4 linked regions of the Saccharomyces cerevisiae S288C genome follow. Changing the gene in region 4 together with the main gene of any one other region gives a genetic interaction. Each region holds a gene or a part of one and is shown on either strand. Other genes may lie near its edges.

Region 1 (6,633 bases), on a different chromosome or scaffold from region 4:
TGATTTAGAAATGCCAATTTTATTTGGTAAGCCTCCAAAGATGTCAAGAGAAACCATAACTGAAGCACTAAATCTACCAGAGGCAAATTTGAGCGAAATTCCTTCCCTACAAGATGCTATTCAAAGAGTTCTAAACTTACCATCTGTTGGCTCAAAGTCATTTTTGATTACTATTGGTGACAGATCCGTCACAGGTCTAATTGATAGGGATCAATTTGTTGGTCCTTGGCAAGTACCTGTTGCGGATGTCGGTGTTACCGGTACCTCTTTGGGTGAGACAATAATTTCCACAGGTGAAGCCATGGCTATGGGTGAAAAACCAGTTAACGCCCTAATCTCCGCATCTGCTTCCGCTAAATTATCTGTGGCAGAATCTTTATTGAACATATTCGCTGCTGATGTGAAATCTTTAAATCATATCAAGCTATCTGCTAACTGGATGTCTCCAGCCTCTCATCAAGGTGAGGGTTCTAAGTTATATGAAGCCGTTCAAGCATTAGGTCTGGATTTATGTCCTGCATTAGGTGTTGCTATCCCTGTTGGTAAGGATTCCATGTCCATGAAGATGAAATGGGATGATAAGGAAGTTACTGCACCATTGTCATTGAATATCACAGCATTTGCACCAGTTTTCAACACTAGTAAAACGTGGACTCCATTGCTAAATAGAAACACAGATGATTCTGTCCTTGTCTTGGTTGATCTATCAGCTAAACAAGAGACTAAGTCACTAGGTGCCTCTGCTTTGTTGCAAGTTTACAACCAAGTTGGTAACAAGTCGCCTACTGTGTATGATAACGCCATTTTGAAGGGTTTCTTGGAAAGTTTAATCCAATTGCATCAACAAAAGGAGGATATAGTGCTTGCCTACCATGATAGGTCTGATGGTGGTCTACTAATCACTTTACTGGAAATGGCATTTGCTTCCAGATGCGGCTTAGAAATCAACATTGACGGTGGAGACCTAGAAAGTCAATTAACAAACCTATTCAATGAAGAATTAGGTGCAGTATTCCAGATTTCTGCTAAGAACTTGAGCAAGTTCGAAAAAATCTTGAACGAGAACGGAGTTGCTAAAGAATATATTTCTATTGTTGGTAAGCCATCCTTCCAAAGCCAGGAAATCAAGATTATTAACTCCACAACAAATGATGTAATTTACGCCAATTCGAGATCTGAATTGGAGCAAACTTGGAGTAAGACATCTTACGAAATGCAGAAATTGAGAGACAATCCAAAAACAGCCGAAGAAGAGTTTGCCAGTATCACGGACGATAGAGATCCCGGTTTGCAGTATGCCCTAACATACAACCCAGCCGATGATATGAAGATCGGATTAGAATTATCCAGTCAAAGGCCAAAGGTTGCTATCTTAAGAGAGCAAGGTGTGAACGGTCAAATGGAAATGGCATGGTGCTTCCAACAAGCTGGATTCAACTCAGTGGATGTCACTATGACAGATTTGCTAGAAGGTAGGTTCCATTTGGATGACTTCATCGGTCTTGCCGCATGTGGTGGTTTCTCTTATGGTGATGTCTTAGGTGCAGGTGCGGGTTGGGCTAAATCCGTATTGTATCACGAAGGTGTGCGCTCGCAATTTTCTAAGTTCTTCAATGAAAGACAAGATACATTTGCTTTTGGTGCTTGTAATGGTTGTCAATTCTTGAGTAGATTAAAAGATATCATACCCGGGTGTGAAAACTGGCCAAGTTTCGAAAGAAATGTTAGTGAACAATATGAAGCCCGTGTATGTATGGTGCAAATATCTCAAGAAAAGGACAATTCTAGCGAGGAATCTGTTTTCTTGAATGGCATGGCAGGATCCAAATTGCCAATTGCTGTCGCACATGGTGAAGGTAAAGCAACATTTTCTAAAAGCGCTGAACAACTGGAAAAGTTCGAAAAGGATGGTTTATGTTGTATAAGGTATGTGGACAACTACGGTAACGTCACCGAAAGGTTCCCCTTCAACCCCAATGGGTCGACCAATGGTATTGCCGGTATCAAGTCACCAAATGGTAGAGTGCTTGCCATGATGCCACATCCTGAAAGAGTTTGCAGATTGGAGGCCAATTCCTGGTATCCAGAGGGCAAATACGAAGAGTGGGGTGGATACGGTCCATGGATTAGATTATTCAGATCTGCCAGAAGATGGGTCGGTTGAAAGATTTTTGTAGTTTTTGTATATGTAGTTTTTAAGTTTGAATAATAATTAGAAAGAAGCTGTCTTTTATTTATAGCATTTAATAATGGGTTTGCTTGTTAAAAATTTATCATAAATAGTATGTATATATATATATATATATATGGATATGTATACGTGGTAATGAACGTGTATACATATATTTAAAAGATTGCAATATAGTTTTTAGAATTAACCTGAATTAATTTAAAAATCATATATTAAAATAAACAATTGTGAAGGTAAAAAGAAAGAGTTAGGGGAGGTCAAACAAAGTAAAAAAAAAAAAAAGGAAAAAAAGCGGTTCGAAATTTATTTCATTTTATACGTTTTTTTGTTGTTTTTCTTTTTTTTTTTTTTGAAGTATGTTTCTTCTCTTAGTTAGTCTTCTTTTGAGCATTGTTTTCAGCTCTCTTCTTCATTCTTTCTTCTCTGGAGGCCTTAGCTTCTGGACCAGATTCAGTGTCTAGACAGTAATCCCACCATCTGAAAGAGGAAGCGTAGTTACCAATAAAGTAGTGATGATGCAAATCGTGGTGTTCAGCGCCAGCCCAGAATGGCATGATCTTGTTCAAAGACCATGGGAAGTCATAACCAGAATGAGAGTCAACAGCTTGGAATAATCTTAGGGTGATCCATACACATAGAGTGAACAAGTGTAATTTACCAGTGTACATGACGTAAAGAATTGGCATACCAACGGTACCAAAACCCAAAGACAAAGTTTCAGCAGGATGAGCATATTCAGCAGAAAGACCGAATGGAGCAGCGTATCTGTGATGTTGCTTGTGAATGTACTTGTAGAAGACACCGTAGTGGAATAGACGGTGAGCCCAGTAATGCCATGTATCTTCCAAGACGAAGAATAGACCAATTTCTAGAGCCATTGTTTTCAAAGATGGGAATGGAACTTCGACAGTAATACCTAATTTTTCACACATTGGGTGGAAGGTCCAGATAGGGATGGCCTCGACCAAGAAATGAGATAGAAGAACGGATTTCAAACAGTATAGTTGTTCCTTAGCACTTGGAATCTTAGTTGGTTGTAACTTCCATCTTCTAAAGTATGGAATTTGGTCGATGATGAACCATGGCAAACATCTAAAGAAATACATAAATTCATGCAATAAAAAGAACATTAGACCGGTGGCCAAAACATCATTGTTCATGTAACTGTACCATGCGGCCCAGTATTTCTCCATGAAATTCAATTGAGGTTGGTAATGGGCGACATTTTGCAAAGTTTGTGAGTAGGTGCTTGCTTGGACTAGACCTGAAAGGGTAGCGTTGTTGAAAACGGCAGACATCTTTTCCTCTTTTTTTTATGGCTGTACTACTTTTCCTTAGTCCTCTATGCTACTATCTAAAGAGAAAAAGTTACAACTAATATAAAGATTTACTGGAAGGAAAGAAACGAAGAGAGAGAAAAAAGGGAGAGAAGAAGAGAAGAAGAAAAAAAAGAATAGATCCTCCTGTATTATATATTATATAGAAGTATGCATACACAGGCGTACGCATACAAGAAAATGTACATGCATAACGGATTAATCGTGTGTATATAGTTTAAACTGCGCAGAGAATGAATAATAATAATACGACCACAGCAGAGGCGAGGCAAGCAAGAAAAAAAAAATTGGTGGGAAAGCGATGCGATACGGTGGCAAAGGGCCTCTTCCTCGACGGTTTTGTGCCAGGTGCCTTGAGGTTGCTGACTGTTATCGGTCATTGTTAGTTGCTATTGTCCTAGTGCTAGTCGTTTACCGTATACGATCTCTGTGTCCCGTATACGAAGGGAGGCAGTGGTAGTGGCAGTGGCCGTTGCGGAGCTGGCTAAACGACATCTGGGCGTAAACGACACCCGATAACTGGCTCTGCTCTTTCCTGCGAGATGGTTCTATCGGACCAAGGCCCAAACGGGTTTAAACGGCTGCCCTCCGCACCCGCACGTGACTACACCGGGTAACGAATGGATTGCGTAATATACCGATTTTTACTTTTTACACTTTTTTGTTTCCTATACGACGCGGACGAAGAGAAAGTCTTCTGCGCCAAGGCCGAAAAGAAAAATTTGAAGAAAACATTCTCAGATGCGAATCTACTTTTACATCATCTTCTACGTAGGCCCTTTTTTAGTTCCTTTTTTTTTTCTCCCTCGGTCTGTTTAATCATAGTAAAATCAGATATTGTCAAAAATTGTATTCATTGAATGGAGAGTACTTAAACTTCACATCCTAACATTAGAGATGCCAGAAAAAACATATAGGTATAAGTGAAATCATCATTATGATAAACGAGACGGATGAAAGGAGAAAAAACTGAAAAGAAAAAAAGGGCGGATTGACAATTCAAGAAAAAGGCAAAAAGTAAAGGAAGGTAACATCACTTGATATCGCACCCTTCTTTGCATTGCCTTGTGGTTACCGTACCACTCTTGCTTATGATTTTTTTTTCTTTTTGCGCGCGCTAGGCTGAAATGTAGAGGTTCAAGGTATGATAACAGCGGACAAAGGTATATGATGTCGCGCATTTGATGCCTTAAATACAATTTTTTTTTTTCCCTCCTCCGTCGAAAAAACGCTGTGAAGAATAAAAAAAAATTGTATTTTGTATTACCCGGATTTACTTTAGTCTCACATTGTATTGTTAGGGTTTTGCTACTTATGGTAAAACTGCCGCTAAAAAAATATTCATTTCTATCCTAATTGTATTTTTATTATGTAGAGCAAAGCTTGCGCGAAATTATTGGCTTTTTTTTTTTTTTAATTAATACTACCTTTTGATGTGAACGTTTACTAAAGTAGCACTATCTGTGGAATGGCTGTTGGAACTTTTTCCGATTAACAGCTTGTATTCCAAGTCCTGACATTCCAGTTGTAAGTTTTCCAACTTGTGATTCAATTGTTCAATCTCTTGGTTAAAATTCTCTTGTTCCATGAATAGGCTCTTTTTCCAGTCTCGAAATTTTGAAATTTCTCTGTTGGACAGCTCGTTGAATTTTTTCTTAGCTTCTAATTGTCTAGTTATAAATTCAGGATCCCATTCTGTAGCCACCTTATCCATGACCGTTTTATTAATTATTTCATAGCACTTGTAATTTTTGAGTTTGTTTTCCTCGATTTCATCGAAGTTCATTTCTTCCTCCAAAAATTTCCTTTGTTCTTCCGTTATGTCAACACTTTTCGTTGTTAAGCAATCTCTGGCCTTTAATAGCCTAGTTCTTAGCATTTCAGATCTGCATTTTTCATAATAATCCTCGGTACTTTCTACAAGATCAATTAAATTCCAATCAAAAATCGTCTTTTGCAAGATTTTGAAGTCACAGTACTTTTCATTTTCAATGTCAACAGCGCCCCATTTGTATTGTCTTCCTTTAACTTTTTCGCCCTTTTCATTAAAAATGTACTCATTAGATGCAATTATACTGAATGGATATTTTTGAAAAATATCTTGTGTTGCATTCAAAACTTCATCGCCGAAAAAGAAACATACAGGGATATCTTGTACTCTTATTATTTCTCTAACTTGTGTTTTGAAGTTTTTCAATTCCTCTTTCGTTAGCAAATCTGATTTAGCAATAACCGGGATTAAATTCACTCTCTTCGCTAATTTTTTCATTGTTACGACGTCTAAAGTATCAATTCCCTTATTTGAAGGTCTCAGAAAGTACAAACAACAATGGACTCTATTATCAACCATTTTTGTCCTATCAGGTTGTTCTTCTTGGAAAATGTACGATCTTATTTCTTCATCAATATAGTTAACCATTGTCCTCCACGTAAATGCATTATCCATATTGTTACCAAAACCAGGTGTATCGATGACGTTGAAATTAAGGTGTGTTCCATCTCCTTCTACAATGCTTTTATAACGAATAATAGGTTTGTTTTCTTTGATGTCATCATCAATTAAAGAAGTAGAAAATAAGGAATTGATAAACGTGGTTTTACCCAATCCACTTTGACCCGCCACCATCAGCGTAAAATCAATTCCATTTTTGGCATTCAACAACTCACGTTGACGTGGTAAGTTTTTGATACCGATGTCTTGGCCGTGTGAATTGGTGTTTATTTCTTGTGCTTTCTTGTTATCTAACAATGGAAGGTCCCTGTTCCTGCATTTACCGTTAACAAAAGAGGATGACCTCTGTCTTCTGTGTTTCAGTTCAGGGCTTTTCGGAGGATGTGAATCGACGGCGTACTGTCCTTGGGAACTTTGTCTACGTATTTTCACTTCCTCAGCGAATCCAGAGACTATCTTGGGAAATTCGACAGGACAGTCTGTTGACAACCGACTCCCTTTTGACTTCATAATAAAAATTCAATGACGCAAAAGGAATTTTAGGTTTTTATTATTTATTTATTTATTTCTGTTAATTGATCCTTTTCTTTCCACTACCAACAACAAAAAAGGGGGGAAAAAGATGTATAATCTAAAAGACACTAATCTGCTCT
Region 2 (8,588 bases), 330 kb from region 4:
AGTTCATCTGGGAGCGGCGGTACCTGTTGTTGTTGCTGCTGCTGTTGCCTATGTAGGGACTCATGTGTCAGCACCTGGACGAAGAATTCTGTAGCAAACGCTGTGGCTACGAATGCGTCATCCGAAGTGTCCATATATTCTGGATCATTCTTGGCTATTCTCTGCACTTTTTCTACAGGTAACTTGGGCGAACACAGAGGTGCAGACGCCGTTTCTTTACCACTAGTCTCGTTGTTCATTGTGTTAGCCTGATCACATCGAGCGAGCTATCCTGACGCTATTCTCTCTTGTTTCTTCTGTTTTGTTTCTCTTACATTTTTCATTTTTTTCTCTAGTTGGAAAAAAAAAAAAACACTATATTAGAATACGCACATTGTTAGCGCTGTTCTTTCAATTGTCATCTATATATTTACAAGGGAATACACAAAATCCTGGTTTTTTTAAGGTCTGGGAACCATGACATAGGAGGAGGGTTTCTTCGTCTTCTTTGGCAATGACGAAGAGTAGACCTCCTTCAAAAGTGCCTGCGTCCTTTCGTTTTCGAGTGCCTCATCATAGGGAAGGGACATTTCCTTGAGTAAGACCTGCTTGATGAGCATAATTTCACCATGTAGCTGCGCTTCTGCTTTAAACTTGGCCACTTTGTGAAGATTCTGCAATGTGAGTGGGTTATGAGGTAGCTGGTTGGCGTCATCGTTGATGACTGACTTGACTAACAGCCACATCTTTAAATTGCCCCTGTTCACCGTATGCGATTCGGACATCACGGGAGAGTCGACTAGTTCCAAGACGGATTGCGGCGCTGAGTCGTTAGCCCTAGGCTCTAACCGCAGCACACGCGTGTACCCACCGGGCCTTTCCAAGTACCGCGGTGCGATCTCGCTGAACAACCGCTTCATCAACTTTCTGTTGTCTCCTGCTAAAAACAATTGGCTCTGAATTTGGGACTTTAATTCCGCCTGTGCAACACTATTACTTGTCGTTATTGCCCTCTTTGTCCAGGTAATGATCCGCTCTGCGACCCTGGAAGCCTCTTTACATTTGGCATGCGTTGACACTATAGATTCATGCTGAAACAACTGGCACGCAAGGTTTTTTAGCAGCGCATCCCTATGCGCCTTGTCCCTAGAGAGTTTCCTAGCAATACCCACTGTCATTGTTGCGCTCGACTGTGCTTCTCACCGTTTTTTCTCCTTGGCGTAGCCAAATCTCTTGACCGTTATAAGCTGTTTTAGCTTGTCAAATCCCACTTGTTCTTGTTAACCAACTTTTCCCGCCTCGTACGCGGTGACAGACAAAGCAGTGATTTTTGCTCATTGTATAAAGGGAGTCTTTACTATGGTGGCATAAGCAACAATACTACGTGAGCAGCAACGAAAGCACATATATAGACGACAAAGTAGTATGGTTTTGAATCCGTCCAAGTACCAAGACACCCGCACGTGGAAGATGACGCCTGCCATGATCAGGGCCCGTAAACCCTTTTTCAAAGGCAATATGCTCGGTCTCACGCTGCTGCTGGGTGTCACGGGCTCTGTTTACTACTACACATATCATTTTCTGCACAAGGACAACGACTTTGCAGACGTGCCCATTCCACCCATCGATCCGCAGGAGCTCGAGGCTCTCAAAAAGGAGTACGAAGCCAAGAAGAAGGCATGAAAAGACCGTTAATGTGGAGGTACGCTGTGGTCTTCCATCAATAGGCTTTGCGCTGTTCTTCTCTCCTCTTTTGTAAATAGTTTACCTACTTGCGTATATGTATATATATATATATATAGATATGCTTATACGGATATATACATACATTCTGTTTGTTTATACTCTTTGTCCTACTCTAACAGCCAGCTCTTTAGTTTAAGAATATGATGAAAAACTCAGTTTGGGAAAAAAAAGGAAAATGTTAAAGTATAAACAATATCGAAATAAGTTCATCTACCACGCACACTTCACCAAGTTAGCAAGATGAACTTGAAGCAGTTCACGTGCCTATCATGCGCTCAATTACTCGCTATTCTGCTCTTTATCTTTGCTTTTTTCCCTAGAAAAATCGTGCTGACAGGTATATCAAAGCAAGATCCGGATCAAGACCGTGATCTCCAGCGCGATAGGCCCTTCCAGAAATTGGTGTTTGTGATCATTGATGCTCTCAGATCAGACTTTCTTTTTGATTCGCAGATTTCCCACTTCAACAACGTGCACCAATGGCTCAATACGGGCGAAGCATGGGGTTACACGTCATTTGCTAATCCGCCTACCGTGACGCTGCCTAGACTCAAAAGTATTACTACGGGATCTACACCTAGCTTCATTGACTTGCTGCTGAATGTAGCCCAGGACATAGATTCCAACGATCTTTCGGAGCACGATTCCTGGCTGCAGCAGTTCATCCAACATAATAACACGATTCGTTTCATGGGCGATGACACCTGGCTGAAACTGTTCCCACAGCAATGGTTTGACTTCGCTGACCCGACACACTCGTTCTTTGTCAGTGATTTCACTCAAGTCGATAATAATGTGACGAGGAACTTGCCCGGGAAATTATTTCAGGAATGGGCCCAGTGGGACGTGGCTATCCTGCATTACTTGGGTCTTGACCATATCGGGCATAAAGATGGCCCGCATTCAAAGTTTATGGCTGCTAAACATCAAGAAATGGACAGCATTCTGAAGTCAATATATGATGAAGTGTTGGAACATGAAGATGACGATGATACACTGATTTGTGTTCTTGGCGACCATGGAATGAACGAACTGGGCAACCATGGTGGCTCTTCAGCCGGCGAAACATCAGCAGGATTGTTGTTTTTGTCACCTAAGCTGGCGCAATTTGCTAGGCCAGAATCGCAAGTAAACTACACATTGCCCATCAACGCTAGTCCGGACTGGAATTTCCAGTATTTAGAGACTGTTCAACAAATTGATATCGTCCCCACCATAGCAGCACTGTTTGGTATGCCAATCCCCATGAACAGTGTTGGGATAATAATACCTGACTTTTTACAACTGTTGCCCAATAAGTTGGCAAGTATGAAAGAAAATTTTATGCATTTGTGGAAATTATCAGACCATCACGGCGAGGTTGCTCTTGACGATTTCACTGCCGAAGATATTTATACAAAGATGTACACTATTCAAGAAACGTTAACCAAGTCTGCAACAAATTATAATTATCCTCTTTTGACACTGGCTTTTGTTGGTTTCCTCATAATAACAATCATCGCCATTTATGTATTATTACGTTATTCTGGGCCTGATTTTTGGCAGTTGCGCGTTTCTTCCCTGTCTGTTCTGTTAGTTTCCATTATACTAGGCGTTTCCACATTTGCAAGTAGTTTCATTGAAGAGGAGCACCAACTGTGGTGGTGGATAGTAACTGCATTCTCGGCGGTCCCTCTGTTCGTATACCGATTGAATGTGCTCATAATCGTGCGCTGGTTTATAATGATGGCATGCGTACGCTCAATCAAGTTTTGGAATAACAGTGGCCAGAAATTCATTTATTCTAACGTTATGTCCAATCTACTTAATCAGAATCCTTCCTGGAAGTGGTGCTTAAATATGTTGACATTTCTAGTGCTGATAATGGCATCTGCTGGTTTTCAAGTACTACATTTTATTGTCACTACTATTTTGGTGGGGTTGTGTTTCACGTACAAAATCTCGTGGGAAATCGTCAATGGTAACCAGGCAGAAATACCGCTCTTTATGCATGATTTACTGGCTAAGATAGACTTTGCACCAACTGAAAGTAACTTGATTGTACTTGCGCGCGTTTTCTTCCAAGCTTGGGCTATTGTTGTCATTTCAAGGTTGGTCCTGACGAAATTGAAAGTACTTAACAAGAACTACCTCATTAAAGATATGAAAGTTTATATAACAATTCTTTTGATGTTCCAAACTTCTTCTCAGAACATAGGTCAATTTCTCGTTTTCCAAATATTAGAGTCCCAAATTTTTTACTTTTTCCAAAATATTCCAACCGCCTCATTAACATCAACAAGTAAGATTTATTTTTCGAATTTGGTGTCCTTAATTTTACAAAATTTTACATTTTTCCAATTCGGTGGCACAAATTCCATTTCTACTATAGACCTTGGAAACGCATACCATGGTGTTTCCTCAGACTACAACATCTACGTAGTGGGGATATTAATGTCCGTTGCCAATTTCGCGCCGGCAATATACTGGTCCATGCTACCGTGGTCAATAAACTACGCCTCTATTCCAGCACAAGTTAAGTTGCAAACGTTCATCAGAAGTAAGTTACCTGCCTTCACCTATCATTGTATATTTGGAACTTGTTTGATGACGGCATGCGTCGTTTTGAGATTTCATCTCTTTATTTGGTCCGTTTTCAGTCCAAAATTATGTTATTTTCTTGGGTGGAATTTTGTGATGGGATTGCTGAATGGCTGGTTACCTGAATTGGCCCTCCTTTGCGCTCTTGATTAACATAGAATTGTTCACGTGGTCTAAATATGTATACATATATGATAGTTTATAGATTCATACTGAGACAAGTGAAAAAAAAAAAATCTACTATCGACCTTCTCTCTTTTCGCGGCAGCAAAAATGAAAAATTAACTTCAATAAAAAAGTTGAATACTTTCAAATATTCTAATTGCATTTAATATTTAAGCAACAAAAGGACAGCGATAATTGAGTGGTGGCTTAATTCTATACTCCAAAGTATGTCCCAATCTAGTAGGTTAAGTGCACTTCCTATTTTCCAAGCATCGCTTTCGGCAAGCCAATCTCCACGTTACATTTTTAGTTCTCAGAATGGCACAAGGATTGTTTTCATTCAAGATAACATAATAAGGTGGTACAATGTACTCACTGATTCACTTTACCACAGTTTGAACTTTAGTCGTCATCTCGTCTTGGATGATACCTTCCATGTAATATCTAGTACGTCTGGTGACCTACTCTGTCTTTTCAATGACAACGAGATTTTTGTAATGGAAGTTCCTTGGGGCTATTCCAACGTTGAAGACGTTTCCATTCAAGATGCATTCCAAATTTTCCACTATTCAATTGATGAAGAAGAAGTTGGTCCGAAATCGTCCATTAAGAAAGTTTTGTTTCATCCAAAGAGTTATCGTGATTCTTGTATAGTGGTTTTGAAAGAGGATGACACTATCACGATGTTTGACATCCTTAATTCGCAAGAAAAGCCTATCGTTTTGAACAAACCGAACAACTCCTTTGGTTTAGATGCACGTGTTAACGACATCACAGATTTAGAATTCAGTAAGGACGGATTGACGTTATATTGTCTAAACACCACAGAAGGCGGTGATATCTTTGCATTTTATCCATTTTTACCGTCAGTATTACTGTTAAATGAGAAAGATCTCAACTTGATCCTAAACAAATCTTTAGTAATGTACGAGTCCCTGGATTCTACAACAGATGTTATAGTTAAAAGGAATGTTATTAAGCAGTTACAGTTTGTGTCAAAACTGCATGAAAATTGGAATTCAAGATTTGGCAAAGTCGACATACAAAAGGAATATCGTTTAGCCAAGGTTCAAGGACCATTCACGATAAACCCCTTTCCCGGCGAGCTGTATGACTATACTGCTACAAATATTGCAACCATACTAATTGATAATGGGCAAAATGAAATTGTTTGTGTCAGTTTTGATGATGGGTCTTTAATCTTACTCTTCAAAGATTTGGAAATGTCAATGTCGTGGGATGTTGACAATTACGTGTATAATAATTCTTTGGTTCTAATTGAACGAGTCAAACTACAAAGAGAAATTAAGTCTCTAATAACGTTACCTGAACAGTTGGGAAAACTTTATGTCATTTCCGATAATATTATACAACAAGTAAATTTTATGAGCTGGGCTTCTACATTGAGTAAATGTATCAACGAATCGGATTTGAATCCACTTGCAGGATTGAAATTTGAAAGTAAACTTGAGGATATTGCCACCATAGAAAGAATTCCAAACCTAGCGTATATCAACTGGAATGACCAATCTAATTTAGCCTTGATGTCGAATAAAACATTGACTTTTCAAAATATTTCAAGCGATATGAAACCGCAAAGCACCGCAGCTGAAACAAGTATCAGTACAGAAAAAAGTGACACGGTAGGAGATGGTTTTAAAATGAGTTTCACACAGCCCATAAATGAGATTCTTATTTTGAACGATAATTTTCAAAAAGCCTGTATTAGTCCATGTGAACGAATTATCCCATCAGCAGACCGCCAGATACCTTTAAAAAACGAAGCTAGTGAAAATCAGTTGGAAATTTTCACGGATATTTCCAAAGAATTTTTGCAAAGAATTGTTAAAGCTCAAACTTTGGGTGTTTCTATCCACAATAGAATTCATGAGCAACAGTTCGAATTGACGCGCCAACTACAATCGACATGCAAAATAATTTCAAAGGATGATGATTTAAGGAGAAAATTCGAAGCACAAAATAAGAAATGGGATGCACAACTAAGCAGACAGTCAGAATTAATGGAGAGATTTAGTAAATTGAGCAAGAAGCTATCTCAAATCGCCGAATCCAATAAATTTAAAGAAAAGAAAATAAGCCATGGTGAGATGAAATGGTTCAAAGAGATACGAAACCAAATATTGCAATTCAACAGCTTTGTTCACTCTCAAAAATCCCTTCAACAAGATTTATCGTACTTGAAGAGTGAACTAACTCGTATCGAGGCAGAAACTATCAAAGTCGATAAAAAGAGCCAAAACGAATGGGATGAGCTACGCAAAATGCTTGAAATAGATTCAAAGATAATTAAAGAATGCAATGAAGAATTGTTACAAGTTTCTCAGGAATTTACTACTAAAACTCAATGAGTAAGCGACTTGCATAGTCTGCTATCATATATGTACGCTAAGAAACAACTGGGCAATGGTATAATATCATGTAGCAAGAGGACATTATATATGAATTGGTCAATATATAAAGCCTTCTGTGCACCAAATCGTTAGGATGATTTTTCAGTATGCTGTATCATTGTATCGTATATTCATTCGTATCTCTTTTACCTCACTAACCGCTGCCAAAATTTACATGTATACAAAATAAAAGTCTTTTTTATGACCTTATTTGGTGAGTAATGCTACTTTTGTAAAGAGTGATGGAAACTATTATTCCAAAGGGTTAGAAGAAGGTGAGGAATACGTTCATATCACCGCTACAGATCGTGTCTCTCGGTTATGAGTAATCAAACCCTCTGCAAGCAACACAGTTACTTTTTTTCGGTTTTTTCTTTTCGTGTGAATTTTTATCCAGTGAGTTTCCTTGTTCACTTTCGAGAATGGAAGGCTGATTTCGAATTTTTATATTCAACAACTGTATTTGTATTAGGCTTTGCAATAGTAGATGAAAAGTGCAGAAGACGAATCTGCTACCCTCACAATACAAAGAAAAACAAAATCGTCATTTTAATATAGGAAGACACCGCTCAGGTAATTCAATATTGAATCTGGTTGCACTTTTCTTACGATGTAAATACCCACAAACTTCTTGTACGGTGAGCGTCTGACAACGAAATCAATTTACGGAGCAAGGATTTTGACAGTAGAGCAGATTGTTTTGAGTAGGATTTAGGAATCAAGACCTCCATCTTTGTCGCATTATTCCTAAATGTAACGTAACTCGTTTGATAAGAGAATGTCTAATCGAAGAGAGTTAATAACTTAATAAGCTCTTTAAAAGAACGATGGCATTTATCGTCTCCTATGCCAAGATAATTACTGGCTCAAAATTGTTCAGCGTTCATAAAACTTTGATATCACTTTCTGGCGCACAAGCTAACCTTTATGTAGTTCTTACGTAGATTCTTTTTAGCAAGTGCCTGGTAGTGGTTATTACATAAATGTATCTTTTCATTTGATAACAATTTCTTCAGTAGCATGTCGTGTCTAGCACGTGACGTAGAACTGTGGCTTTTTTGTTGTCATTATGACAATCAAGATACCAAAATTCAGTCATGTTTAAAAGGGGAAGGTACGATAGAGATATATATAAAGTGTTCAATTTACTATAATTGCGTATAGAATCCATTGTTACTTGCTCTCAATGAAACAACGATTCATTCGTCAATTTACGAACCTAATGTCTACTTCGAGACCGAAAGTTGTTGCCAACAAATATTTCACTTCTAACACTGCCAAAGATGTTTGGTCGCTAACCAATGAAGCCGCTGCAAAAGCTGCCAATAACTCCAAAAACCAAGGCCGTGAACTTATTAATTTAGGCCAAGGCTTTTTTTCATATTCCCCTCCTCAATTCGCCATTAAGGAGGCTCAGAAAGCCCTAGACATTCCAATGGTCAATCAATATTCTCCAACTAGAGGTCGACCTTCATTAATTAATTCCTTGATTAAGTTGTATTCTCCTATTTATAACACAGAATTGAAAGCGGAAAATGTTACCGTAACAACAGGTGCCAATGAAGGTATACTTTCTTGCTTGATGGGGCTTTTGAACGCTGGCGACGAGGTTATTGTTTTTGAACCTTTCTTTGACCAATATATTCCAAATATCGAACTTTGCGGTGGTAAAGTTGTTTACGTCCCCATAAATCCTCCAAAGGAATT
Region 3 (9,368 bases), on a different chromosome or scaffold from region 4:
TTCGGTTTTATTTTACAGTCTAGACTCAAACGAGTGAAAAATTGCGATATCTGCGATGACCGAGTCCTGAACAATAAAAATTGACCAGCAGGGAAAGAAAAGGAAAAGATCTCAACTCTGGCGGTTGCCTCCAGGACCTGCACTAGAAAGGACTATTGAGTGTAGACTAAGTGGTGGACGGGATGGAGGCACTTATCGTATTTATAGTGCTTTCCGTATCCGGAGCATTTGCTTACAAATGCTCCTATGAAAGGCTCTGGTTTAAAGTAGGGTCTTTGTTTGACATTATATCAACTTCCTCGAAGAAAAATGTCATTCCGTTGGCAAGCAAAATGGAAGTTGGCTCGAATGAGGATGTGTCTAGTATGGGTAATTTCATAAATAAATTCTACACAGAGTATTCTTTACCCTCACATAAGGTACTGCAATCACTGCGAGTCCTTTTTTCATTAGCAATGATGACGTATACAGTAACCATAGAGATTATTCTATGGCAGATTAAGGTTGCTGGAATGGACAAGGAAGTTACTTTCATAACGACTTGGGTGTGGCCTCTGACTGCAATCATGCTATCCTTCATACTAATTTTATTTCAGCCCTTTTTCATTATAATATCGTTACTGAATAAATTCTACAATGACAAGTTCGATATCGATAGGTTGATAATAGTGACATGCATAATCTTGTCCACACTTATTGCGCTGTTAAGTTACATAAATATTGGACCGTTCCAGTACACAAAAAATATTCTAACTAGATTGTCCATCGGAGGCGTCACAGTCATGGCTTCCCTATCTGGGTTAGCCACTGTTTCTAGTTTATACTACAACTTTTTAGTCATCTGGCACAAGTTTCGTAATACACCAATGTCAGACCCCAGTTTTAGAAACATCAACAACAGCAACAATAACAGTAAATCTCTCTTATGGACAACAGACGCCTATATAGAGGAAAAAATCCAAGATTATGAACACAACATTGAACAAAATGTACAAATATTAAGAAGTTTAGAAGAAGAGGTCGGAGAAAACTCAACTTTTAAAGCAGAGTTGATGGAAAAAATCGCCTGGTATCAACTGGAGCTTGGGAAATTGGAAGCATTATTACAACAGTCCCCTCAGGTACGCACTTTTAAGAAAGCTTTTGAAGTCGGGTTTATCATATACTGTCTTCATAAACTAATAATAACTTTCCTGAAAAGAATCCCCTATATCATATACCACTCGCTCAAATATCCAGATGACTACGATTATGAAAATTTTAGTGAAAATGCAGCATCCGATCCTTTAGCCATTACGATAGCAAATATTTTGGATTTTTCGTTTTTCAGGTTCAATTACCAGCACGATCTCGATTCGTTAACAAAACAGATATCGTTATTTTTGTCAATTTCTCTCTTTCTTTGCTGTCTTTCTGCTGTCAATACCACCATCTCCTACGTTGTGACCCTTTTGCCCATAAAGTTCCAGATTCTTGCACTTTTCGCCATGCAGAATGATGACACTGCTAATGTACTTCCAGAGTACACCAATAACTCTTCCTATAAGGGAAAAAAGAGAAACTATTCTCAGGAACAAAAAGGAATATCTTTGATAAAAAATCTGGTGGTGTCAGAGTTGACTGGCGTCTACGTTTTGGCTACAACGCTAATGGTTAGGTCCCATCTCCCTTTTGAAGTATCACAAAGATTAAAGGAGCTATTGGGTGGAAAGTTTACCGTCCCAAACATTGTCATAGATTCTTGGTTTGATGAAGTCTACGCTTTTGCATGTGTGTTTACCTTTATTTGCATAAGAATTGCAGAACGAAAGCTTTCCACCAAAAAAGTCAGTGTTGAATAACTGGAGTAGTATGTCGATGTTCGATGTTTATGAGATATGTATTTATAAAATTAAATGTCTGTCGGGTAGTTTATGTAGGGATGAGAAAAGTAGTATAGGTTCATGAAGAAGTACAACTTTTTTTCATTTATGCAAGGGCGTAAAAATTATGGATGGTTACTACTAATGATCAAAGTAACATTAATGCAATAATCAACCAAGAAGAAGCAGAGGGGCATGAACATGTTATGAATACAAAAATTCACGTAAAATTTGATCGTCACTTAAATTTTCCTTGACAATCATATAAACACCTATTAATAGGTTTGGAAAACGCTTGGTGAAGTAATCGTAAAATCCATCGGGTACCGGCCCCATTAGTTCTGCTATATCTTCAGGTAAATCCATAAAATGATGATATTTATTCCTAAGTGCTCTTAATAGATCCATTAACTTTGATGAATGGTATTTTCTGTACCTTTCAAGGTTGTCCATGAATGTTTTATCAAACTTGACAGTCCAATCTCCACTGGGTATTACAAAGTCAGAACCGGCGTCAAATTTCATTAACAGGGCACTTGGAGGGTCTCTGTTTTCAATTTCAAGCCTATCACTAACTTTTAAAAGGAACTCCAATTTTTTCGACTTTGGCCAAAACAACGGATGCCTTAGAACTTTCATAGCAGTAGGTCTTTTTAACGGATCGTGATCAATCATTTGGGAGATCAGATCTGTAGCTTCTGCAATTAAGGATCTATCATGTAGACATTTCATTTCATCAAGACTGAATATTCCTCTTATGATATTGCTTTCACGTGAATATTTATCTCCAAATGGATGCTTCCCTTTGGATAGGATATAATAGAATACACATCCCATAGAAAAAATATCAATAGATCTTGTTAGCCTCCTCTTGGTGAACGGATCATAAAAAGAATCAGATGAAACTACTGTATGCCTACTAGAAGAGTGTTCCGTTTCGACTTGGCACTGCAAATTGTTTGATTCTTCAAGCAGCTCTGGGGCCCTCCAACCACTTGTGCCAGAAGGGTTATTCAAATTTGTTCTAAATGAAGACTGACCAGAGTCTAGTTTTTTGCAAAGACCAAAGTCTGATATCAAAATTCGAAGATTTTCTGCTCCTGTTTGCTGATCGGCAGTAAACCTACTCGAAGTAGAAACGAGAATATTTTGAGGCTTTAAATCTCGATGGATAATCTTTAAAGAATGTAAATGTGCTACCCCGGACGCTATTTGTCTCAATAACGAAATTGGATTATACTCTTTCTGTAATTTCAGGTTTTCATCTGATACATTCTTAGACTCCACCAAATCTTGAAGGTTCAAATTGCAGAGCTCTAAAGCAATATACAAAAATCTGTCTGTTGTTTCTGAACAGTAGTATCGTATGACGTTAGGGTGATCATCGCTTTCAGTCAAAAGTTTTATTTCCATTAAAGCTATGTCACAAAAATCAATTAACATTCTCTTTACCGCAACAGGTCTTCCTTGAAAACTTCCCTGAAAAACTACTGTTCCTGATGAACCGTAACCTAAAATTTTTTCGGATACTACCAAATTTTTTAAAGATTGCTCAAAGTTTGGTATATTTGCAATGCGTGATTTTCGGCCCTTTTTGCCTCCTCTCGAACCTCTTTTCCTCTTCTTCTTTTCTGTGGTTAAATCTAGTGATTTTTCATCATCTTCATCAGCATCATCGTTATCTTTTTCAGATTTTAGACTTCCATCGTTCACAGCACCTTCAAAAACAACTTGCTTCCCTGATTTCATATCGAATGGCTTGGTTACATTTTCCGATGAAGAGGGACAATTTAGCGATTTCGACTCAACTATGGGGATTTCCTTTTCAGGCATAAATCCAATTTTGGATAATAATACATATAGTGGCGGCAAAATTTTGAATCTTTGTAGTATTGCACAAAAAATGAGAAATAACAACAGAAATACTCCAGTCTCTATAATTCGATATACTAGACTTCCAAACTTCAGTAGCAAAGAATTTTGGTTCTTTTCATCTAATTCTCTCGATATTTGCTCGTGTATCTTTTTTCTATATGCCTCAAGGTCTTCTGGTGACATGTATTCCTTTAGTGAATTCATCTCGTTATTCTGATGTAAATCGGTTGTATCAACGGACGAATCAATCATCAGAGGTGGATATTTGTGCGTAGTGTCCAAACTATTCGTTTTTTCATAGTTTTCATAAAGGTGATCATATTCATTATTATATATCTGATGAACACCCATGATTGCGTTCTTGAATAAAGTCTCATCTTCAAAAATTGAAGACACCCTCCAACGGTCACTGGAAGCGTATCTTGATATGGGAGCTGATTCGACTAAAGATGGAAAATTCTGACTAGATAATGCAAACCAGGAGAGGTTCGAAGTCTGATCCAAGTAAACTTTGTTACTCGATATACTTTCATGATCACCAGGATTAAAGGGATGCGGTACCAGTATATTTTCATTGGTGCGGAGATCATTAAACACATCGAAAAGCCCAACAATAATTCCGGGGAATGTCGGAGAAACCCATCTAGCAATTCTAAAATCTAAATCGCTTGCTAGCAATGATTTATCACGGAAAGGCGCTATGCACATGCCGTCCTTTGAAAATGTATTCTGAAGCGCTAGGGGAACATCTAAAACATTTTGCTGCCATGTAGAGTAAGTGACATTGTAGCTTGCTCCATCATAAGAGTGAATTCCCAGCTCAAAAATAGTTTTGCCTATTACAATCATATTTTCACATTCCTGAAGTTTTATCTTCTCCTCAGGTGAGCAATCCACACTCTGGCTCCCGAAATACCCGTTTTTTGAACCAGGTCCGAACGCTGATATAATTTCACCATTCAACATGTTTATAGTATACATTATAGTTCTCATCGATCCAGTGTAGACCTTTTCATCTTCAACAATTTTTCCAGAGTCATTAACCACAATATTTGTTTTCAAGTGCAGCGGGGAAGTTGATACAAGTTGTCGTATGGATAAAGGCAGTTTTTGTAACCCTTGATGGGCGTTAAAGTAGTAAATGTTCCCATCACCGAAAGGTTCTATAATCAACGTTTCATATGTTTCTAACCTCGAAGGTTCTTGTATTTCTATCAGAGGTTGAAAATTTTCTGGTTCGATTGACCATATGATATGACCATTTCTTCTATCTACAGCATGAAGTCCACCCTCAACGTCGGCTGCGATTAGTATATCTGATAAACTCAGTTCGTTCAAGGAACGATTCTCCAAATAGGGTACACTTATAGAATTGGCAGCCCTACGTCCTTTTTTGTTAGCACGTCGATTATCAGCAGTATTCAATAAGTTAGGAGTTGGATATGAGCTGAGTTTCATATTTGGTAAACCTTCAGTGGTTCTTGGAGCAGGAATGGGCGAGTTTATATTTTTATCCACACCATAGTTGAAATTGAGCTTTTTAGTGGAGGCAACTTCATCTTCCACTATCTGCCGCCTTGAGGTGCGAGACGACAATGGGATTGAGCATGAAATGATGGATGAAAACACACAAACGAGCAGTGTCAATACTAACATGTTTCTTCGAAGTAGACGCATTTTTCAAAGTGCTAAAATATTAATTCCTCAGATATGCTGTTTTTTTAATGTGTATGAAGGGTGATATGGAGAAAAGTGATAATGGACGTGGGGAAGAGGAAAACGATGCTTTGTGAATGAGAAAAAAAAGTTACTTAGCAGATTACCGATTATTAACAGTGCCAGTTATAGTGTAGATTTAATTGTGTAAAATTAATATTGTTATAGACTTTTCACTGTTAGTTTATGTGAAGTTGGCTCATTGATCTCCTATGATATGTTTTTCGTTTATTTCTTGTTACTATGTGATTAATCTCTTTTTTTAAATTTTATTGTTGGAATAGTCGAAGGTATTGCCCGAAGAGGCTTACGCTCCGTCTTGATTTTCGGCAATAAAATAGCGAAAACCTATTATATAACAGAGGGTAATAAAACCTCAAAACTACAACTATCAATATATTTCACACTACGCAGCTTAATTAGTAACTGTATAATAGCATTTAAGTTCATTACTTCTTTGTAATTTTATCTTTTTTTTTTTTTATATAGTTTTCAGCGCGCAGCAGAGTTTCATTGGAACGCTTCGCACGTTGGAAGAATAGAACTGTCCCTAAAAGCCCATTAGTCCTTCATTGAATAACCGATCTCTTCAAAAACATCCTTAATTTTGCATTGCTTTTCATCAGCAATTATTTGGGCCAACCTTAAACCGGCATCTCTCAATTCGTTGTACTCCTTTAACTCTTTAATGTACGTCGAGGAAATTTTTTTTGGTGTCTCATCACTTTGACAAGTTCTGTTAATAACAGAAACTAAATATTTTTTGTTTGTTATACCGATTTTTGCCGACTGGAAAAAATAGCTACATACTTTTTCTTTTCTTTAGACAATTGCTCAAACATCTTTATCAGGTTGCCATTCATACTTTCGTATTCCTGTATCTGTTTTTGCTTTTTATTTAACTGTGTTTCCAAATAGTTCATACTTGCAAGTTGTCTTCTGTTTATGGCAAGGATAAGACCATTGCTTTTAATTTAAAATTATTCTTATACTCTGTCTTTGCATTTATGAAGCAGAAATAGAATAGCCGCCATTAGGCAGAACAATTCCGTCTGATGTGATAATGCAAAGTGTGCCTGTCATCTAACTTAAAAGGAATCAGGCCAACCGCTACAGGATATGTACTAGATACAATTACTAAATAATACAAACAGAATATATAAAATGCTATTAAGATAGATCATTTGCGTCCCTCTCAATGTTGTCCAACATAGTTTTCATATGATTTAGTTGCATTTCTGTTATTTTGATACTTTCTGATAATTGCTGCAATTTGTGTTCGTCATCGTTTCTCAACATAGCACGACCTCGAGGTGATATTGCACTCCCTCTGTTACTGATCCAATCCCAAATATCGCTTTCCCTTCCTACAATAGGACTCTTATCCCTTGCGTAATTTACATTTTCTCTCTTCTTCTTAGATGATATGGCGTTTTCATATGAGTTATACAGTGTGCCGAAACTGGGCACGTAATTATATTCTTGACCATCAATCAGCAGCCTTCCTGGCTTGATGATTTGAAGATTATTTTTTTCTTGAAACACGTGAAGCCGAGGAGACCAGAAAAGCATAATGGTCAACCCCAAGATCAAGAATAGTTTTTGAGGACTCAGCAATTTGTTCATAAAAATTTCTGAACTAAAATTATTCTGAACGAAATCCAAAATATGAGTTAAAATGTCTTTATTATCATCGCTCTTACGGCTTTCGGAACTTTTCTGTTCAACCTTACTATGGAAAGGCCTATGTTTATCATGACTCTTCATTACTTTCTTCACCGGTTTTTTGCTTTTTGCCCTGCTAATAATGTCTCTTAACTCGGATAGCATGTAATCGACAGAAACCTTCTGACCCTCAACAGATCCTTTCTCAATTGCACCTTTCAAAAATGATTTACTTGTCCAGTTGATTTTTGTTATAACGGTCATATTCGTGGTGTCATGCTGCCCCCAGAATAGAAAGATTTTACTTTCTACTGCAAAATTGCTACCAGAGGGGACGTCTGGAGTTTTAGTTGTTTGTGTCACCAAAACATAGTTATTGATATCCATGTGTTCAATAGACTCGGTTAGTAAACATTTTGTTTGCTTAGGTCCGATAGAATTGTTCAATTTCTTCGTGTACTCATAGTGTCTTGAACCTCCTTCAACCAACGAAGGCGTGAATTTTGGTATCGTTTCCACATTGACATTATTCTTATCTCTAGTGATAACTTTCTGCATATACTCTGTATTCGATCCAAATAGCAATTGGACCACGGTCCCTAATGGAGCTGGTATATTCTCATTTTCCCTTATAATAGAGTCATCCTTATCCTTTTGAATATCAGGCTCGGTAGGTGCATGTGAGCTAGGTTCCATTTTCGGTAAAGTTGATACTGTAACAGTGTTCTCCTTCGAAGACCTTTTCCTTTTGGTAGCAGATCTTGTTAAAATATTACCAAGCTCCTCCACCAATATCTTTGTTGCATCCGTTACACCATCAAATGTACCCTTTTCAATAGGACTTTTGATCAAGCTTTTACCTGTCCATTCAACAGAGACATACAGTTTTAGTTTTGTTTCATTGTTGTTTGCCCATGATAAAAGATAAACTGTTCTCACATAAAATGAATTTCCAGAAGGAACATCCGGAGTTTTTGTTGTTTGCAAGACTTGAACATACTCCTCTAAGTTAAAGTGTTGAATGGTTTCAGTTATCATGCATTTAGTTTTACCGGGTCCAATGGCACCTGGTGTTGTTTTTACGTAGGAATAATCTCTCTTTTTACCTTCAGAAACCGTGGGTGAATCAACGAGAACAGGGATTGGCGAAATATCACTATTCTTTTGCGCTTTTAAAATGGCCATAATATAACTGACATCTTTCCCGAATAATATATTGACAACCCGCCCTAACGAAGCGTGTATTGTTGATTCGTTAACTAATTTTTCATTGGGCGCTGGTTTGTATACTGTTTCTGTGGGTGAGTGAATTTTTGGACCTAGTGGTGGAATTCCTGTTCCATAAGGGGTGTCTGTTTGTAGAGGCATGGGTAAATCTTCCGGCTTTCCTATGCTGACGCTTGATGTCATGTCGGTAGAATCAGATATGTTATTGCTATTATCGTAAAGATCGTCATCATCATCTCCATAATCATCGTAATCATCATCGTAATCGTCATTTTCATCATCACTGATAGAATTGGAGCTGCTATTAGTGTTATTACTGTTGCTACGAAACCTCTTTCCCAAAATTATTTGATTCCATACTTCAGTAATTAAATCATATGTAGCATCTCTTGAAGTGAAAGAGGCAAACGTGTATTTTGTGTGTAAAGTGTCTATAACGATCCCATTAGGGAATATTCCTGCTGTGGCCCTTTTCTCTATTTGAACGATTGTCTTGAACGGTATAAAAACGGTACTTACCCAACCAAGGATGTTCGAATAAAATCCAATATGTTGATCAGAAATATACATTCTGCCTTGCAAAAGGATATCTCTTGACAAAGCACAACTATGGTCTAAAATCAACCTTTCATTGGGGCTGACACCAGAGTCCTTGAATATTGCATGGAATTCTGCATCTTTCTTTTCGCTCGCGTATTCGACTCCCTTTATTCTAATGCTGGATTGTCTACCATTTTCCTCCGATGGCTCAATGATATTTACGGGGGTAGATGAAAAGCTTTTACTAGAACTTCTCCTCAATCCCGAAGATGGACGACCGTTGGACATACTAGGTCTCGGTATGATGGTCGATGCAATATCAGTGCTGTTTTTTACTTTGTTTAGCGAATATTTCAGTGCCGTCGAAGGTAGTACTTTCATTCCCATGCTAATGCTTCCGGGGGAAAATGACCTCCTGTTAAGAAACTTCTTGGACATTTCCCTAGGTTCGCGGTCTTCATACTCCGGGTCGTTATTCGTTAG
Region 4 (6,458 bases):
CCCTAGGTGTAACCAGAAGAGATTAGGAGGGCTTAGGGCCAGTATTTTATCTGATGTAGGGCAAACGAGTAAAATGTGTAGGGTATGGGCTAATATCAAGGGCTTCGGACTTACTGCCCCGCTCACAGAAACAGCCGCACTAATTAATTTCTTTTGTGTAACGTTAAAGTAACCCTGGAATCATCATTGAAAAATTATCATCCCAAGAGACAGAGATGTGCATGTTGACAACGCAGGCTCAATGTAGAATAAGATCTGACTACTTAGTCAATTTTACCTCTAGATCATATTAACTAATCTCATCTTGCACAAAAAACGTATCACTATCATGGAGGAAATTCCTGCCCTGTATCCAACGGAACAAGAATTCAAAAATCCGATCGATTATCTCTCTAACCCCCACATTAAAAGGCTTGGTGTACGATATGGTATGGTCAAGGTCGTACCACCAAACGGGTTCTGCCCGCCACTTTCTATTGATATGGAAAATTTTACTTTTCAACCAAGAATTCAAAATCTGGAGAACCTAGACCTGAAAAATAGGTGTAGGCTATTTTTTATGAAACAGTTAAATAATTTTAAAAGATCCGTTAAGGATCCATCGAAACTTATACTTAGGGAACCTTATACGATTGTAGAATATTCAGATTCTACTCATGCATCGGAAATACTAAAAAAAAAAGTGTACTTTTATGACGTTTTCTCTGAACTAATAAAAGACAATCGGACACTTACTGACACTACACAGTCATTCAGGCGAAAATTGAAATTTAGAGATATTTCCCAATTAAGAGGCGACATCAGTCTATGGAGGACCATTTCTAAAAAATTCAACGTACCAATCGGCTTGTTAAAGGAAATTTTTGAGAAATATATTGCCTCATACTACATATTTCTTCATTCACTGAACGAGAACGTGCACACGGCGCTGCATGCTGACCAGTATCCAAAATCCTTATTAAGTGATGACGAGGACGATTTCGATCTTGGGCCAGATTCGAATTCTGGGTCGGATTTTGAGGAGGACGATGATGATGCTTGTATTGTTTGTCGCAAGACAAATGATCCAAAAAGAACAATTTTATGTGATTCATGTGACAAACCATTCCATATATATTGTTTATCACCACCTTTGGAACGTGTTCCCTCTGGCGATTGGATTTGTAACACTTGTATCGTCGGAAACGGATATTACGGATTCACTCAGGACACGCATGACTATTCTCTACCAGAGTTTCAAGAATATTGTAAACGTCAAAATTCAAGGTTATTACCAGCACGAAAACTGTCTATAGATGAGTTGGAAGAGATGTTTTGGAGCTTAGTGACCAAGAATCGTCGCAGTTCATTAACGACAGTTAAATACGGTGCTGACATACATAACGAATTGCCAGGTCAAATTACCGGCTTTCCGACGAGAGAATTTATACCCAAAAATATAAATGGGGACGAATTGATAGACTACCTCAAATATTGCGATCATCCTATGAATTTAACTAACTTGCCTATGGCTCATAATTCGCTATTACCGTTATTTAAAAGAAATATTTCTGGCATGACTATTCCTTGGATTTACATAGGCTCCTTATTTTCCACATTTTGTTGGCATATGGAAGATCAGTATACCCTAAGTGCTAACTATCAACATGAAGGTGACCCTAAGGTCTGGTACAGCATTCCCGAATCGGGATGTACGAAATTCAACGATCTATTAAATGATATGTCACCAGACTTATTTATCAAACAACCAGACCTACTGCATCAGCTAGTGACTTTAATATCTCCGTACGATCCAAATTTCAAGAAATCAGGTATTCCTGTGTACAAAGCTGTGCAAAAGCCCAACGAATATATTATCACGTTTCCTAAATGTTACCATGCTGGTTTTAATACAGGTTATAATTTTAATGAAGCTGTCAATTTTACTATAGATTTCTGGCTACCATATGGATTTGGTGCGATTACGGATTATAAATTAACTCAGAAAGCATGTGTTTTTGATATGTTTGATTTAATGATCAATGTTTTGGACAAGTACAATAAAGATACTCTATTGTTCAATGATGCTTTTGTTAGGCAATGTTACTCTTCATTGATCGTCTTTTATAATACTGAATTAAAACGCATACGGAAAATTCAGGCCATTGTACCACGGACAACTCTTTTGGAGGTGCATACTGATCCAAACGATGAAGATGAGGAATACGATATATTTTGTTCCCAATGTAAGACTATATGTTCAATAGCCTTTGTATTGCGAAAGAATAACTATGATTCAATTAGAACGTATAAAAGACACAAGAAAAACCATTTAAGTATTAGGCAGTGGAATGAACTATCCACGACGGACAGTAAAGTGAGTATCCTGTGTACGCAGGATTACTTAAAATCAATACAAAACTTGAACAATAGCGACGGTGAAGAACCTTATATTGACGATGAATTGTATTTCACTAAGTCTTTGAAGGATATTGACTCTTTAATAAAGCAAGTTGGTGTTAAGTTAGATAGATAGTCTTCAATATTTGTGTATGGCGTAATGATTTTTTAGAATAATACTTGGCATTTAGCACGCCACTTTTAGCGCGAAAACACCAAAAAAGTAAAGAAAATAATGTCGATCAATCTTTAAAGAGAGACAATTGAATGGTAGTGTAACAATTTACAACATAATAGAGTATCGCATTCAGCAAAAGTAAAGAATAAATTCTAAGAAAATGGCTCAAGCCTTGAACTCCACCAATATTGCTTTTTTCAGAGTAGCATTTTTATTCACGATCGCCTTCTTTTGTTTAAAGAACGTTAATTCTATTTTGCAAAATACATATTTCATAGTCTTAACGCAAGCGATGAATTTACCGCAGTTAACACTGTCACGTTATAGTGGTCAATTGGGTCTTTTCGCTCTTCTGTTTACTCTTAACGGTGTTCATGATCTAATTCCCCTGTTAGAAAACAATGTTAAATACTTCCAATCTGTTGTGCCAGTTAGATTACTAATTTTTTTTATTTTGACAAGTATCTCGTACCTTTGGGAGTCAAACTTTTACGTTCACAATAACTCTGTTTTTATTTACTGTTTTGCAGAAGTTTGGATAAATTTTCTTTTGTATAATGCCATTAGGGAGGAGAAAAATGAAGAGTTCAAAAGATTGAACCAATTCATGGTTAATGATGAGGATATTGAAGAACCCCAACCATTTACCGTGAAGACTGAAACCACAGAAATCATTGAAATAATCAATGATGAAGAAAATGACGATGAAGATGGGAAAGATAATGATGATAACAATGAGAAAGGTAATGATGATAGCGATGCAAAAAAATAAAATGTTTAATCGTTTATTTTTTCTTTCCTTTATTCTTATAGTAGATACCTGTGTATGTATGTAGATATAGACATAACGAAGCTGAATTTAACGGTACATGCTAATATGTGTACTCTATAGATTAGTTTTTCTTCTTTTCACTAACATAGTCTAGAGCGGTCAATCTTTCAGCTAGAGTTGGATGGGAATAATGATAGCTAGAATACAGAGGATCTACATTCATGGTGGAAAGGTTTTTGATTTGTAGATCAATTAGAGCCCTACATAGATTTTGCTTGTAGCCCAATTTTTTAGCATAAGCATCAGCTTGATATTCATGAGTTCTGGAAATTAAACTCATCACGAATTGCATGGCACATTCGAGTGGAGTTAATAAGTCGTTAAATAACATAAATCCAATGATAATGGGGAATTCCTTAGTGATAACGGGATCAACAAAACTGCCAGTGGACTTCTCTAAGAAAAAGCCGAAGGTGTTGTAAAATGATGTATTTCTGTAGATGCTGGTGAAAAGGGAGAAAATGAGGAAGGTGTGCAATTGACTAAAGATGACCATATTAACGATGTGGTTTTTTTGCCAGTGACCGATTTCATGGGCCAAAACAGCCGTAATTTCATCAGTAGAATTACTGTTCACTAAAGTGTCGAACAAAACAATTCTCTTGGAGGTGAATGGCAAACCTGTGAAATATGCGTTTGAATGAGAAGATCTTTTTGAGCCGTCAATGACAAAAATCTTATCTAGAGGGAACCCAACTCTATCGGCCAAACTTTCAATAGATTTTTTCAGTTCACCGTCCTCCAATGGAGTGAACTTATTAAACATGGGCATGATGAAGACTGGAATGATTGTCATGGCTAAGATTTGGACAACGAACAAGAAGACCATAATGTACCAAAGGAAATCAGTAGGGAATTTATCAAAGATCTTAAGGAACAGGTAAAGGATTGGGCCACCAATAGCATACGCCAAAGTCAGACTCTTGATCATATCGGTGATCCATAGTTGGACGGTCAATTTATTGAAACCAAATTTTTCTTCCAGGACAAAATGGCTATAGTAAGAGAGTGGCAAATCAACCAAGGTAGACAAACTGGATAAGAGACCCAAGAAGCATAAACTCTGTGCGACAGTGGAGACCATATGAAATCTGACTGGCAGGACTGCATTCAATAAAGAAACGGCCATGTGCCAGATTTTAGGGAAGAGGTCGTATTTGATGAAAACTAGCTTTTGGGCTAGGTTATAGACGTCACCGAAAATGGAGAACTTGGCCTTGGCCCGGGAGTAGTTCCTTGATTTATGAAAAGTTTCATCATCAATTTCGTCTTCCAGCACAGGTGGCAACTTTGTTTCAGATAGCTTCTGGTACTGTCTGTACGTCAAGTAAGATTCGAAAGAAAATTGGGCAATCGAGAACCCAGAAATGATTAATTTCCACGGGATATTAGGATGGTCGAGAATCGTCTTAAGATCAAACATGAATAAAGGCCTGCAGTTTTCTATTTCCTCCTTTTTTTTCCTTCCTTTTCCTGTTAATTATAGAAGTGGTTTATAATTCGCGAACTTTTTCTCTTGTTCGTTGTCTTTTTTTTTTTATTTCCCGTCGATTTTTTTCTGGAGAAAATGGCAGAACAGAGACGAAGGAATTAGAGTTTTTGAGTAAATGACGTAGAAAAAGAGGGAAAAGTTTAATTGCCTCTTTTTGGTTAATAGGAATGAATATACAAGTTTACATATATGTATATTTGTATGTATGTATGTAGATGTATGTGTGTGTGTGTGTAAGGCGTTTCGTTGTTGAAGATAGAAAAAAAGGTAGGTTTAGTCTAGCTTCGACGTTGGGGCTGGTTTTGCAAGTTTCTTGGCGATTCTAATCATCTTCTTGAACCAAAGCACGTTCAAAAGGTTCATGAAAATGTTCAGCGACATCATCGTGACAGCAGAAAACTTGGGTAACTCGTCTCTTACCTTCCACATCTGCCTGAATAAGAGAGCGGATGCGATGGAGCCCCAGCAAATCCTGACGACGAAAAACACAGTCATGAGCAAAAGGCCATTGACGACATTAAACCACAGAGGGATAGAGTTCTTGCTCTTGGCGTTACATTGCATGATGAACCAATTGATGTTCACAAAGGGAGTGGAGGCCTCGTAGATAAGGAACCTGCCGATCCAGGGTTGGCAGAACGGTCTTAAGGACAACAGCATCACATATACGGAGCCAATGGCGTGGCCCGTGAACTCGAGACCATAAAGCTTGAAGTAACGCACGCACATAGTCAAGTCCCAGATAAAGTACCCTGCGCTGAGGGAAGATACCATTGAACTGTACGAATCTGTGTAGGTGACAACATTATAATGCATTGGCGTCGTGAGGGTGGGCAACAGGACGGTGTTCGAGACGACAGCCTGGATCATCGAGACGGTGTGGACATTGAAATCAATTTTCAGCAGTGGGTCACGGATCGTGGTGTAGTGCTTGCGAAAGACCACTTTATTCAAGAACGGTGCGACAACGGAGAATGCGAGCTGGTAGAAGACGAAGCTGAAGATGATCTCATGCAAATGAGCCAGTATTAAATTAGACGAATGAGGGAAGAAGGACAGCTTTTCGAAGGGGCTGGTGAGGCCGATTGCTGTCGTGGTAGAGTTGGCGTTCATTGCGGCAAGAGCGATAGCTTAAAAATATTGTTTTTTTTTTCTCTTTTATTAAACTATGTTTTATACTGTTATGTTGCGTTGAGTTATGTCAAAATATTATGTTGCCTTGTATGTTTTTGGACCCGACAAAAACACAGGCTGAAAAGAAACACGTATGTATGTATATGTATATAAACATATGTGTGCATATATAAGTGCACGTATAGAAATAATATGCGATAAAAGTCTATTGTTCCTGGCTCATAAAACCTAGGAACTGAACGAGTTTTTTTCTTTGGTGATTCTGGCGTGATTCAACATTCGTATGCGATGACGGGCAGATCCGCGTCGTAAAAATGTTCTTAAGAAAGGAAAAGGGGAAAATGCATGCTAATCACATAATGCTAATGGGCCGGATGTTATTAGTGAGAGGAGAAGAGTCGCTGGATGCTGGGGAAGCGGAATGAGCTTCTGCAGTAGAAGAA

Evidence for each region.
Region 1: mutations in STE24 (region 4) and ERG25 together harm fitness more than expected from each alone (negative genetic interaction), as found in Saccharomyces cerevisiae (5 studies listed by BioGRID).
Region 2: mutations in STE24 (region 4) and LAS21 together harm fitness more than expected from each alone (negative genetic interaction), as found in Saccharomyces cerevisiae (5 studies listed by BioGRID).
Region 3: mutations in STE24 (region 4) and IRE1 together harm fitness more than expected from each alone (negative genetic interaction), as found in Saccharomyces cerevisiae (5 studies listed by BioGRID, with this or other methods).

What each region holds. Positions count from the first base shown.
Region 1 is NC_001139.9:607,420-614,052, reverse strand, and holds ERG25 (methylsterol monooxygenase), read right to left. Parts: upstream 3,490-6,633; coding exon 2,560-3,489; downstream 1-2,559. Other genes in the region: ADE6 (phosphoribosylformylglycinamidine synthase), read left to right, coding at 1-2,164; septin SPR3, read right to left, coding at 4,952-6,490.
Region 2 is NC_001142.9:315,319-323,906, forward strand, and holds LAS21 (mannose-ethanolamine phosphotransferase LAS21), read left to right. Parts: upstream 1-1,965; coding exon 1,966-4,458; downstream 4,459-8,588. Other genes in the region: DLS1 (Dls1p), read right to left, coding at 1-239; mitochondrial 54S ribosomal protein bL17m MRPL8, read right to left, coding at 441-1,157; COA3 (Coa3p), read left to right, coding at 1,405-1,662; linker nucleoporin NUP82, read left to right, coding at 4,698-6,839; BNA3 (kynurenine--oxoglutarate transaminase), read left to right, coding at 8,068-8,588. UniProt on the Saccharomyces cerevisiae protein: Ethanolamine phosphate transferase involved in glycosylphosphatidylinositol-anchor biosynthesis. Transfers ethanolamine phosphate to the GPI second mannose.
Region 3 is NC_001140.6:256,178-265,545, forward strand, and holds IRE1 (bifunctional endoribonuclease/protein kinase IRE1), read right to left. Parts: upstream 5,415-9,368; coding exon 2,067-5,414; downstream 1-2,066. Other genes in the region: YHR078W (uncharacterized protein), read left to right, coding at 183-1,841; SAE3 (Sae3p), read right to left, coding at 6,015-6,177, 6,264-6,376; LAM4 (Lam4p), read right to left, coding at 6,624-9,368. UniProt on the Saccharomyces cerevisiae protein: Senses unfolded proteins in the lumen of the endoplasmic reticulum via its N-terminal domain which leads to enzyme auto-activation.
Region 4 is NC_001142.9:640,361-646,818, reverse strand, and holds STE24 (zinc metalloprotease), read right to left. Parts: upstream 4,813-6,458; coding exon 3,451-4,812; downstream 1-3,450. Other genes in the region: JHD2 (histone demethylase), read left to right, coding at 329-2,515; ILM1 (Ilm1p), read left to right, coding at 2,718-3,329; TDA4 (Tda4p), read right to left, coding at 5,155-5,994; YJR115W (uncharacterized protein), read right to left, coding at 6,368-6,458. UniProt on the Saccharomyces cerevisiae protein: Proteolytically removes the C-terminal three residues of farnesylated A-factor mating pheromone. Also acts to cleave the N-terminal extension of the pheromone. Does not act on Ras.